Sus scrofa: one gene and its partners. The protein of the gene in region 1 interacts with the protein of each later gene in a pairwise test. Links are inferred from orthologs where the notes say so. Each region holds a gene or a part of one and is shown in the gene's direction. Other genes may lie near its edges.

Evidence for each region.
Region 2: the proteins of PITX1 (region 1) and SPAG8 interact in binary tests that used the Homo sapiens proteins (3 or more experiments, as listed by UniProt). The link is inferred for Sus scrofa from reciprocal best matches to the Homo sapiens genes PITX1 and SPAG8.
Region 3: the proteins of PITX1 (region 1) and ZBTB32 interact in a two-hybrid assay, tested with the Homo sapiens proteins (2 studies listed by BioGRID). The link is inferred for Sus scrofa from reciprocal best matches to the Homo sapiens genes PITX1 and ZBTB32.

What each region holds. Positions count from the first base shown.
Region 1 is NC_010444.4:137,204,168-137,207,910, reverse strand, and holds the start of PITX1 (pituitary homeobox 1), read left to right. Parts: upstream 1-1,238; coding exon 1,239-1,407; intron 1,408-3,701; coding exon 3,702-3,743. UniProt on the Homo sapiens protein: Sequence-specific transcription factor that binds gene promoters and activates their transcription. May play a role in the development of anterior structures, and in particular, the brain and facies and in specifying the identity or structure of hindlimb.
Region 2 is NC_010443.5:236,529,262-236,532,989, reverse strand, and holds the start of SPAG8 (sperm-associated antigen 8), read left to right. Parts: upstream 1-808; 5' UTR 809-1,425; coding exon 1,426-1,514; intron 1,515-1,616; coding exon 1,617-2,418; intron 2,419-2,520; coding exon 2,521-2,695; intron 2,696-2,894; coding exon 2,895-2,940; intron 2,941-3,026; coding exon 3,027-3,141; intron 3,142-3,263; coding exon 3,264-3,326; intron 3,327-3,434; coding exon 3,435-3,554; 3' UTR 3,555-3,728. Other genes in the region: HINT2 (histidine triad nucleotide-binding protein 2, mitochondrial isoform 1 precursor), read left to right, coding at 1-15, 114-218, 307-379, 488-579. UniProt on the Homo sapiens protein: Microtubule inner protein (MIP) part of the dynein-decorated doublet microtubules (DMTs) in cilia axoneme, which is required for motile cilia beating.
Region 3 is NC_010448.4:45,141,165-45,144,907, forward strand, and holds the start of ZBTB32 (zinc finger and BTB domain-containing protein 32), read left to right. Parts: upstream 1-1,075; 5' UTR 1,076-1,109; coding exon of another isoform or gene 1,110-1,138; intron 1,139-1,144; exon of another isoform or gene 1,145-2,212; 5' UTR 2,213-2,311; coding exon 2,312-3,186; intron 3,187-3,382; coding exon 3,383-3,519; intron 3,520-3,628; coding exon 3,629-3,697; intron 3,698-3,743. UniProt on the Homo sapiens protein: DNA-binding protein that binds to the to a 5'-TGTACAGTGT-3' core sequence. May function as a transcriptional transactivator and transcriptional repressor. Probably exerts its repressor effect by preventing GATA3 from binding to DNA.

The sequences.
Region 1 (3,743 bases):
TGAGCCCTCTGAAAGGGCGAAACAAGGAGAGAGTCCTCTCGAAGGGGATGTGGGGCCTGGCAGGGCTCTTGGGGTCTCCTGCTGCACTCGCCAGCGGCCTGGAGCCAACAGAAACGTTTCGTCTGATTAGAAGCCATCAGTTCTATCCCAATCCCGGAAAATTGACTGTGGTGCAGAGGGGGGAGGCCTGAGAAGCAAGCCGCCTTGGGGGAGAGGGTCCAAGCTAATTAGGAGGCAGCATCCGGGGGCCCATTAGAGCGCGGGCTGCTGTCACTCAGCCTGGCTCGGGTCCCGGGAGAAGAGGCCGGGAAAGGAGGGGCCGGCGGCCCCTGGACGAGGACGCGGCTGGGAGCTGCCGGAACGAGCCCCGGGCTCTGCCCCCGCCCTGGCGCTGGCTCGCCGGCGACCGGTCGGTGCGATCCTGTTCGGTGAACATTCACTCGGCCTGGGCTGTTCTCGCCGGGGACTCGGGACTTCGAGGCGGCCCAGACTGGAGTTGATTTCGAGCGAAACAAGTCATTTGGGGCTTGAGGTGGGCACGAGCCGCGAGGGGCTTGCAGGCCAGATGCGTTTCTTTTGTGCGGCCGAGGGAGAACTCGGTGTGTCACCGGGGGGAAGGAGGGTGAGGCGCGGCGAGGCCGCGGGAGGGGGGAGGCGGCGGGAAGGTGGCTGCGGAGGGGGAGGGCGCGGGTGAGGCCGGGAGGGAGGGAGGGAGGGCGGGCGGCCGAGAGGGCGCGGCGGCGCGGGCGGCTCGGGGCTGGATTCCGCCCGCGCTCCCTCGCTCGCTGCTCCTTTCCTCCCTCCCTCCCTCCCTCCCTCCCTGCCCCCTCCCACCCCGGCCCACCCCACCCACCACCCCTGGCGCAGGGACTGCTGGAACCTGGCGGTGCGCGCTGTCGCTTTAAGACAGGCTCTGCCGGCGCGGTCCGGAGCCTTAGAAACCGGCCCCGGATCGGGAGCCGGAGCCGGGGCCGGGCGGGCGGCTGAGGCCCGAGCGGCGGGAGCGCAGCGCGGAGCGCGAAGCCGGGCCCCCGGTCGCGAGAAACCGCTGCCGCTGCCGCCCGCCTGGCCCCGCAGCCCCGGGCGGTCCATGGGGCGGGCGCGGCGTCGTTGCGGGCGCGGGCAGCCCTGGGGGGCAGCCGCTTAGACGCTGCGCTCTCGTTCTCGCAGGTCGCAGCCAGGGCGGCCGGGTGCCCCCAGCCCCGGCCCCCGGAGCGCCCGCCACGGTCCCCGCTTCCATGGACGCCTTCAAGGGGGGCATGAGTCTGGAGCGGCTGCCGGAGGGGCTCCGGCCGCCGCCGCCGCCGCCGCACGACATGGGGCCCGCCTTCCACCTAGCCCGCGCTGCCGACCCCCGCGAGCCTCTCGAGAACTCCGCCAGCGAGTCGTCCGACACGGAGCTGCCAGGTAAGCGCGGCTGTCTGCGAGGCGCGCACGGAGCCTACTCCGCAGGAGGGCGCAGGGAGCCAGGAGCAGGGCCTGGCACCCGCGCCGCGCAGGCAGGCTCGCTCTACACCCCAGGAGCGTCGGGATCTTTCCTTTTCCCGTTTTGTACCTGAGGGTGAACGCGGAAATGTACACACTTTCAGAAACAGAAATCTAGTGCTTTCCGAAAACAGTTCCATGAGATCCCCACGCGCCAAGTGACCGGCAGATGCATAAACCTACGACCGGAGAGTCGGACTGACAGCCCCTCTTGATCAGGAGCAAATAGAACGGGGCGGGGGTGGGGGAGGAAATTGGGTGACCCGGGTCGCTCAGACCGAAGGCGAAGAGCAGATCAGAAAGGAATGGGGCGGTGGGCGAAAGAAAGTGCCCAGGAAAGCAGAGTACTGACACCCCGACACACCGTGGGCGACTGACTGCGAGAGGGAGAGACCCAAGAGCAGGGGTGGCGGGAAAAGTGAGAAAAGCAAACAGGGAGTAAGAGAAACAACCTAAGGTCACAGAAAAGGAGAGGACAGCGAGGGCGAGCGGGCCAAGGGGCTCGGCCCGGCTCCGGCGAGGACCCCCTAAGCCAGGGATCCCGGCCCCACGTGCGCCGCCGGAGCCCGGAGCCGCCAGGCCGCCCAGCCAGGTCTCCGGCTCGGCTCAGGCACGTCTCCCTCCGCGCTACCTTTTTGTCCCGGCTCGAGCTTTATTCCCCGGCCGCTGCTGGGCCGGCGATGGGCGGCGCGGGCCGTGGCGAGGTTAGTACCCGGCCCGGTCCCGGCTCCCGAGTCTCGGAATCGCTCGCGGTCTTGACTCCGCGCCGCCGCCCAGCTCCCTGCTCTCTCGGCTACGGGCGCCTCTTCTGCGTTCATTTCTTAATCCACCGCTGAGTGTTTCTCTACGCGTTTTTAATCTCTATTTGTTTCTGTTTTGCATCCCTAAGTGACTTTCTCTGAGAGGTTCTGTTGCTTGGTTAAAAAGTAAGCAGCGCTGGACTGTACTTTTGTTTTCAAAAGTTTTAGGCGTGGGCTTGGGTTGGTTTTTATTGTTAAAGCTCAGAGAAATCGTTACAGATTGCTTTTAACAACCAAGTCTATGAGGATAAACTTTAAAATTTAACTGTATTTTTCAGTATAGAAAGAATTGCTATCCTAAGTACATTTCTCCGGAATTTTAAAATATCTGCATGCAACGTTATTCTTCGAGACATTTTAAAAATTCAATCCAAAATGGCGCGTTTGTCCGGGATTTTCTCAAAGTCCATTTACAGGGGTGTGATTTGGGGAATTTATCTAACTAGAGTGTTGTATTTCTCTGGGATTTAAAAATTACCTCTAGAAGAGCATTATTTGGGAAGGGGTTAAAAAAAACTATCTACAACAGTACCTTGATTTTTTTTTAAGTCCCAGATAAATAAATGCCGGTGTCTGCCTGGAGTTTATACACGTACAGCACTGTATTTAGTTAGGGATGTGTTTGCACGGAGGTTTCTGGCTTCTTAATTTGCATTTGCTGTGTTTCTACCTGCCTATTTTTAAGAGTGTGTGACCCTTTCTAATGTTTTTAGGCATAGAGCTGTGAGCTTTCCTAGGCTTCTGTGTTTTGTTTTTAAATTCTTTTTCTTTATGCTTCGATGTTTCTATGACTGCATGTGTTTTGTGTAGCTTCAAAGAGAGAGAGGCAGAGCCCCAGGGTCACTTAGAGCCTGTGGGTCTGGCCTGCTCGGCTGCCGCCAGAGGGATTTTCTGGGCCTTGAGACGTGGGGCCTGGAGCTGAGGCCGAGAACCGGCGGTGCAGTGCCTGCCCGGTGGGACTCCCACACAGCCCTGGGGAAAAGAGGGTGGAGAGCCTGCAAACCACTTCCTGGCTCTCGCCCTGCCAACCGGATAACTTCAACTTCGGGCTAGAAAGATCTGACCCTCTGCCTAGAAAAGCAGAGCTCCCCTCTGGCTTAGAACTCCAAGAACCCTAAAAATGTACATTCGCCAGTGACATCAGCAGTAGGGATCGAGCAGGAGCCGAGCTGTGAGAGCAGGCCCTGCCCAGCTAGGACCTAGGCCCAGGGCTCCAACTCCTGGGCTCTTCTCCCAGACAAGCCGGGCCAGAGGTGACTACTGATATCCGGCACGGGCGGGCTCTTTCTAATGGGGACAATTCCAGGGCCCCTGGCGGGAGGGCGGCCGCTGAAGGCCGGCGCTTCGGTGGAGCCGGGACGGGGTGCAGAAGGGCATAAGCCCGACGTGACCGATGCCCCATCCTGCCCGCTTCAGAGAAGGAGCGCAGCGGGGAGCCCAAGGGGCCCGAGGACAGCA
Region 2 (3,728 bases), on another chromosome or scaffold:
TATGAGGACCAGCAGGTGGGGTACCCTTAGGACCCATCCCCTTAAGAATTTCATAAATACCATCCAGTTTGTTGAACTAACATGGTGGCCTCTGGCATGTTCACTGCTCCCAGTGTCTTGTATTCCGTGATGTGGCCCCTCAGGCTCCTGTGCACTTCCTGGTCATTCCTAAGAAGCCCATTCCCCGGATTAGCCAGGCTGAAGAAGAAGACCAGCAGGTGGGAAGAACAGGGCCAGGGTTTGGCTGAGGGAAAGGTTTTGTTCCCTGTAAATGAAGCCACCTGTCTCCCTCCCCTTTCCCTGTAGCTTTTAGGACACCTTCTCCTTGTGGCAAAGAAGACAGCAAAGGCTGAAGGACTGGGAGATGGATACCGACTTGGTGAGTGACATTTGGCCCTTGAGCCCCTCACCATCAATTGATCTAACCTCTCAATATGATCTTCATTCTTTGACCATCTTAACCCCCTAACCCGACGCACCATTTCAGTGATCAACGATGGGAAGCTGGGTGCACAGTCTGTGTATCACCTGCACATTCATGTACTTGGGGGCAGACAGCTCCAGTGGCCTCCAGGTTGAACCTACCAAAGGACCAAGGACCCCAGACTTGGATGCTTGGACGGGGTAGGGAAATAACAGGACCCAATGATGCCAATAAACTTGTTCTCCCTCAATTCTGGATCCCTGTCTTAAATATATAAAGATTTATACCTCAAATAGAAAAGAAAACTGATTCAAGACTTTGATCCCCCTTGACTATGGTCTGAAACACTAAGGAAGCCCATGATGCAGTCAAAGGAGCACTTGCCTGTGTATCTATGAGTTCATGACTCATGGTCCACCTGGGTTAAACTTCTAGAAAAGCAGCAGTTCTAAGAATGTGCCTGAATAAGTAAAGCCAGTATCCCAAGACTTGCTCAATTCAGATACCAAGCCAAGTTATAAGGGGGTCTGGAAGGAGGAGGGTCAAGGTGAGGGCCTTTCATTGGAGAAGTTATCACACTCAAAACATCTGCTGCCCCATGTCTCACCATTCTGTTTAAGCTGTTGTCTGATGTATTTTCCACCTTAAAAATTTTAAAAAGATGCCCCACTTTTGAGAATGAAATTAGGGGAAGCTACCATTGTCCCTTGTAGAAACACATCAAGTAGGCTTTTGTCTGATTCCACAGCACTGTGCCTGTATTCAACACAAAGAACCACTTTAGAAAGCCTCCAAAAGTCCTGCGCGGGTATGAAGGGCGAGACCTTAGGCCGGCGAATCTTAGCAGCCAGGCCGGATGGAAAGCGCACTTCCCAGAGTGCACCAGATTCAAGACTTCCGCCCCGCAGAGAACTTGCCTCCACCCCCACCCCCACCCCCACCCCCACCCCCACCCCCGCCCTCCACGTCCGCCCAGCTCTAGTTCTGCGCAGTCTCCTGGAATGGTTTGCCGTCTCTATAGCAACGCAGTACCCAGTAGCGAGTGTCGCAAGATGGAAACCACTGACTCCACAGAGCTATCGCCATCGCGGTGAGATCTGCAGCTCTGGCTGCAGGCATAAGGGGACAAGGAAGGTCAGTGGACTTCCCCCGCTGCCCTTTTGACGACTTTGCCTTTTTCACTTTTTTTCAGCTCTTTAGACGAACAGCCTAGCTCCGAAGAACTAGGGACCACTTCAGATCCCTTGCCTTCTTTGGATGGCCGTCATAGGTCGGCTCTGGCAGCTGCAACTGCAGCAGCCTCAGCAGCTGCTGCAGCCACTGCAGCTGCCTCCACTGCCAAGGCAGCTGCATTATCTACACAGACCCCAGCGCCCTACTCAGAACGGAGCCTTCTCCTGGAGCCCTTCTCTGACAATCTTACTGCGGCGCACCACACCACCCCCAGATTTACCCACAAGATAGGCCATGGGAGACTTGGCTTTGAGCCTGTCCAGGTCTCCCATATTGCTCGAAATTCCTACACTGCAAATGATCCTATCTCTAGCCAAGGCCCTGTTCCTGGCTCCAGCTCTGACCCTGTTCCTGGCTCCAGCTCTGGCCCTGTTCCTGGCTCCAGCTCTAGTCCTGGTCCTGGCACCAGTTCTGGTCCTGGTGGTGGCTCTGGTCCAGGCCCTGGTGGTAGATCTGGTGAAGGCACTGGTCCCGGTCCTGCCTCTGATTCTAGGCATAGTCCAGGCTGTGGCCATGACCCTGGGTTCAGCTCCTCTGCTCCTCCAGGCTTCAGAAACCCAAGGGCAGATCTGGTCCCTAATTATGCCTCCTGGAGTCACGACAGCCACTGGGAGCCTCAGAAACAACCCTGGAAATTTTTGCAAGTATCAGAACCTGGCACCCGAGGACACTGGAAGCCCTCTGAGGTTGAAGGGAAGAGTAAGATACCCAGTGAAACACTGCCACGGGGCCAGTGCCTTCTCTACAACTGGGAGGAGGAGGTATTAAGGTTTTGACCTGCTCTCTCTGCTTGAAAGCTGCCCCCAGTTGATGAGGGTGGGTACCAGAAAGGATATCATGGTCATTCTACTTGGGACCCACAGAGAGCCACCAACCACCTGGATCAAGTCCCAAGCATGCAAGATGGCTCTGAGAGTTTCTTTTTCCGACATGGACACCAGGGGCTGCTGACCTTGTGGCCACAGTCACCCATGTCCTCCAGAACCACCCAGAAAGATTCATACCAGCCCCCAGGAAACCACTCTCAGCCAGTCCGAGGTACGAAGTATGAGAGAACGGACCAGAACGAGTCCATGAGAGAAAAAAGGAGAGGAAGGAATATCGGGTGGGACTATGGATTGTCTGATGGATGTAAGGGCAAAACCTGATTCTCCTTCCTTTTCCCAAATAGTTTTCTTTGGGGCCTGTGTCTTAACCAGATTCCCCCCCACTCTGTCCATTCCCTGACCTCCCACAGGGAAGCGTGAAGCCATGCTGGAGATGTTCTTGCGCCACCAGATCTGGTGAGAAACTGGGTGCAGTTGGGAAAGGGGAGGGGGAGGACAAAAATCAAGGGAAAATGGCCTTGACACTCCCCAGGCCTGTGTAGTAAAGAGGTGCAGGCAGAGCAGGAAGCCACAAGGAAGGACTCTGAGGTCGAGTCTGTGACACATCATGACTACAGAAAGGAGCTGGTGCATGCAGGGCCTCCTACTCCAACAAGGGTAAGAACCTACCCCACCCCACTTGGCCAGCTGGGCCCTGACAGCCTATGGGAGAGCAGCAGGCCCAGAGGTTGAGAGAGGGAGCTTCAAGCCAAGAGTTATTCCATATCTCTCCCTCACAGCCTCATGACTACCGTACTGAGCAGCCTGAAACCTTCTGGATACAGAGGGCACCGCAGCTACCGGTATGTGAGAGGGACCAGGTGTTTGGGGGGAGGGGGCGCAGAAGGGGAGAGGCTGCTCTGTTCTGGCTTGAGAGCTGGGTCTGTCCTCATTCTGGGTCTGTCCTCCAGGGCGTCAGTAACATCAGGACGCTGGACACGCCATTCAGGAAGAACTGCAGCTTCTCAACACCAGTGCCTTTGTCTCTAGGGCAGCCTTTGCCCTATGAACCTGAGGATTATTCCCACTAATTGGGAGAAATATCCTCCCCTGCCTGTCAGGGAGGAGGGCGGGGTGGTGGAGGGGATAGAACCACTCCAGTCTAAGGGTTGAGGAGGGCAGCAGATGTGGATTAAAGAATCTGTCTGAATTCTGTCTGTACTTGGAGAAGAGGCTTTCCATAAAAAGGGTTCTCTCTCATCCTG
Region 3 (3,743 bases), on another chromosome or scaffold:
AGCAGCCCACCAGTGCTTGACTTGTTCATCTTCCAGTTATCAGGCATATGTGATATGCCAGGCACATATCATAAAGCGACTTATCAACACTTCTTCTATGAATGAAACATCTATCACAGGATGAGGAATGATGAAATAATAAGAAACAGAAAAAGAAATGTGAGTCTCTCAGACCTCATCTTTTCCCCAGGTTAAGGAGTGCTACAGTGTGAAAAGAGGGGAAATCTCTGAGGACCTTCACCCCCTAGGCAGGAAGTGAAAGAAACCCCAGAGTCCTGATTTCAGAGAAATGTCATTTGTCATCAACCCAAGAAAAGGAGTTTTTTCTCTTCGAAGACCACCGCAGGCCCTTCCTGGGGTTGCCCCCTTCACAGCCTGATAGGAGGATCTGAGTCACTCACACAGCCAGTTCCCAGTGGTGGCTCAGATGGCAGGGGTCATTCCCACAAAGCAGTCAGGGCTTTGCTAGTACCAAGGCAGGGAGAGGGAGCCGGAGACATGCCTTGGGTCCTCCTTCACACTCTCCTTGGAATCCAGATGTTTCAGTCCTTTTTACTTCTGAGGAAGTAGAAACAGCTTCCAGCTGCTAGAGCTCTCTTGACACCTCTGAGAAACAGAACTAATACTATCTGAGCGATGCGAGGTACCGAGAAACCACTTTCACATTCATCATGTCATCTTCCCGCCACCTCCAACTGTGGTAAGCAGAGGTGATCCTTATTTCATGGGTGAGGTAACTGAGGCTCAGAGAGGTGACTTGCCCAAGGTGACTCAACCAGTAAATGGCAAAGATGAGAGTCAAATGCTGGTTTGATTATCCCCAAGTTCTTATTGCTTCAGAGACCCTTCTATGACTCTAGGAGTTCACAAATGAATAAGAAGACAGGAGGTTAGGAGACAATGCCTGGGTTCTGGGAGTAGAGCCATGGTCTCTCCTGGAAGGGTGAAGTGGAGCCAGGGGTTTAAAACCACACCCCTTGGGGGATTGTGGCAGACTGATACTTGGGACACCCAATGGAAGGCTGTGAGGTCAGAGGCGGGGCTAGCTCGGGGGTGGGGGGGGTGGGGGGTGAGGGTGGGGAACAGGAGCCCCAACATCAGTTCAGAGCATGCGGTGTCCAGGAGGAAGCTACAACCGGTGAGTGGTGGCCTCTCCCCAGCTGAGACTTTCCTTCTATTACAGCTCCCTTTCGGTCCACTTCCTGCCACCCTGTGGCCCTCTCCCCAAGGTAGCCAAGCAGTAACCCTCCCTCCTATAGGGTCCATACTCACGGTGAGCCCACACCCAGGAATACGCCTGCTGGGCAGTGGCACACTTAGGTCTGTCCCTCTGTTTCTGAGTTCCCAGTTTTCTTAAAGTCCAAAGTGGTGGTTTTGATGTGTGATAAACTTCTGCCTTGTTGGGGTCTGTCTTTCTACTCTTCACTATTGGCTTATAAAAAACAAAATTGCATCATCTCCCTACCTAATCTTGAGAGGAAATGGCCTCTCCCTCTATAGTTCCCATTTCCCTTTCTCCCCTTCCTCAGGGGTCAAGGCTTCTGCAAGGTCTCTCCATCCTTGAGCGAGGAGCCTTGTCTCCTGTGGCTTCTGACCTCCTCTCTTAACTCACTGCATGGGATTCTTTGGTCTCTTCCAGTTCCTTCTCTGAGGATGGGTTCTAGAAGTTTTGGGCCTCAGGGAGATGATCGATTGATGCCTGAGAGCCTGCCCTCCTGTGGCTACGACCCCTGCCTTGCTGCCCTTTCTTCCTCTCGGGACCCTCAGCTCCGCCTGATGGGCTTGCAGCAGGGGGACATACTGAACTTTCTCCTGAAGCTGTATCTTGCTCCATCCCTAACTTCCAGGGCTGACTGGGTTTCGTGGTGCTCTCTCTGTCTGGAATGAGGGGCGCCTGGCCTACTCAGAGGTCTTTCCCTGCAGAGGAGCTTGGAGAAGCCGCAGTATCCATGTCTGCTTCCTTTAAGTCAGACGTTGCCAGCTGGCAGGACCCGTCTATTCTGGTCTTCACCCCACTGCTTGATACAGTTCTTAACCGTCTGGCCCTTGCTCTCTAAGTCCTGAATTTGGTCTAACAGCCATTCTCCCACCACCCCCACCCTGTTATGGTTCCAGAGAAGCTCAGGTCCTCTCTTGGGTTAGTCCATTTGCTCCCCTCAGGACAGAGAGTTCGGATTCAGACCACTCACTCTTTCTCCCCTCACCTCCACAGGCTTGAGAATATGCTGTTCCTCCCTCCCCTTTCTACCATGGACCCCACACTGTGGCCCTTCTCTCAGAACCTCTGAGATTGGTACCCAGGCAAGGCAAAATGCCCCTGTCCCCGACAAGACTGCCTAGTCCCTATGGCTCTGATCGGCTGGTACGGCTAGCAGCCAGGCTCCGGCCAGCACTATGTGATACCCTGATCACAGTGGGGAGCCAGGAGTTCCCTGCCCACAGCCTGGTGCTGGCAGGTGTGAGCCAGCAGCTGGGCCGCAGGGGCTGCTGGGCTGTGGGAAAAGGCATCAGCCCTTCTACCTTTGCCCAACTTCTGCACTTTGTTTATGGGGAGAGTCTAGAGCTGCAACCTGGGGAACTGGGCCCCCTTGAGGAGGCAGCCAGAGTGTTGGGGGTACAGTCCCTGGAAGAGGCGTGCAGGAGGGCTCAAAGGGACCCTGCCAAAGACGAGCTGGGTCCAAGGCTGAAGGAACAACAGAAGGAACCAGAGCAACCCATAGGGGATTCTCTGAGAGGAGTGGAGGGCTTTGGAGAGAACCAGAGAGCAGAGATGTTCTTTAGAGCTGGTGAGCAAGAACAGGAGACATTGCACAGGCACAGGCGACCAAGAGAGAGCCCTGAGATGGCAGAGACAACTTGGGAGGGTCAAAGGGAACAGATGAGACTAAAGGAGAAACTTAACCAAGCCCCCACTGGCCATGGGAAGCAAGAAATGATCATGCGGGTGAGGGATGGTCCAGGGGGCTCTGAGGAAAATCTGCGGGAGCTCCCTGGCCCCCTTCCCCCATCAGGTCCCCTCCAAACCGGCATCACCCCTAGGCCCTGGTGGGCTGAGGCCCCCTGGTTGGGGGAGGGCCTGCCTGCCCTGTGGAGCATCCTGCTATTGCCGCCCAGATATGGCACTCCCTTCTCCCATAGCACCCCCATCACTGGAGCCTGGCAAGAGGTCTGGCCTCAGGACCAGAGGTGAGTTGAAGGGCCTATGGAAGACCTCCAGCTGGGAGGGAGCGGCTGCGGACAGGCAGCGGTGAGGGGTGGAAGGGCACCATATCTCTCATCTCCACTATACACTTTCTGAGCTGGAGAGTGGTCAGGAAGCTCCTGCCACAGGGAAAGCCAAAGTTCAGCCCCAGCAGAGGACTCCTGACATTTCCCTCCCCAGAAAGGGCTTGGCCAGGATGCCAGGTGCAGCCAGGGCTGTAACCCTTCCCCATCCAACTCCCAGGATCCCACTGTCCCTGAACCTCCACAAAGGCCTCTGGAGCCAGAACCAGTTGGCCTCCTCCAGCCCTACCCCAGGTAAGCCCCTCACTGCCTGGCACGCATGCTGTAACGTGGTCTCTCAGCTGGGGCTGGGGCTCCAGGAGTTCAGCTGAGCAGGATCCGTACTTCACTCTGCTCCCTCCAGGTTCCCTCCCCCAGGGCCCCACAGCACTCAGCCCCGGGGAGATGGAGGAGGCTGATCAGAGGCACACAGGTGAGTAGGGTGAGGACGCTTTTGCCTCAGCCCCACTGTGGCCCCG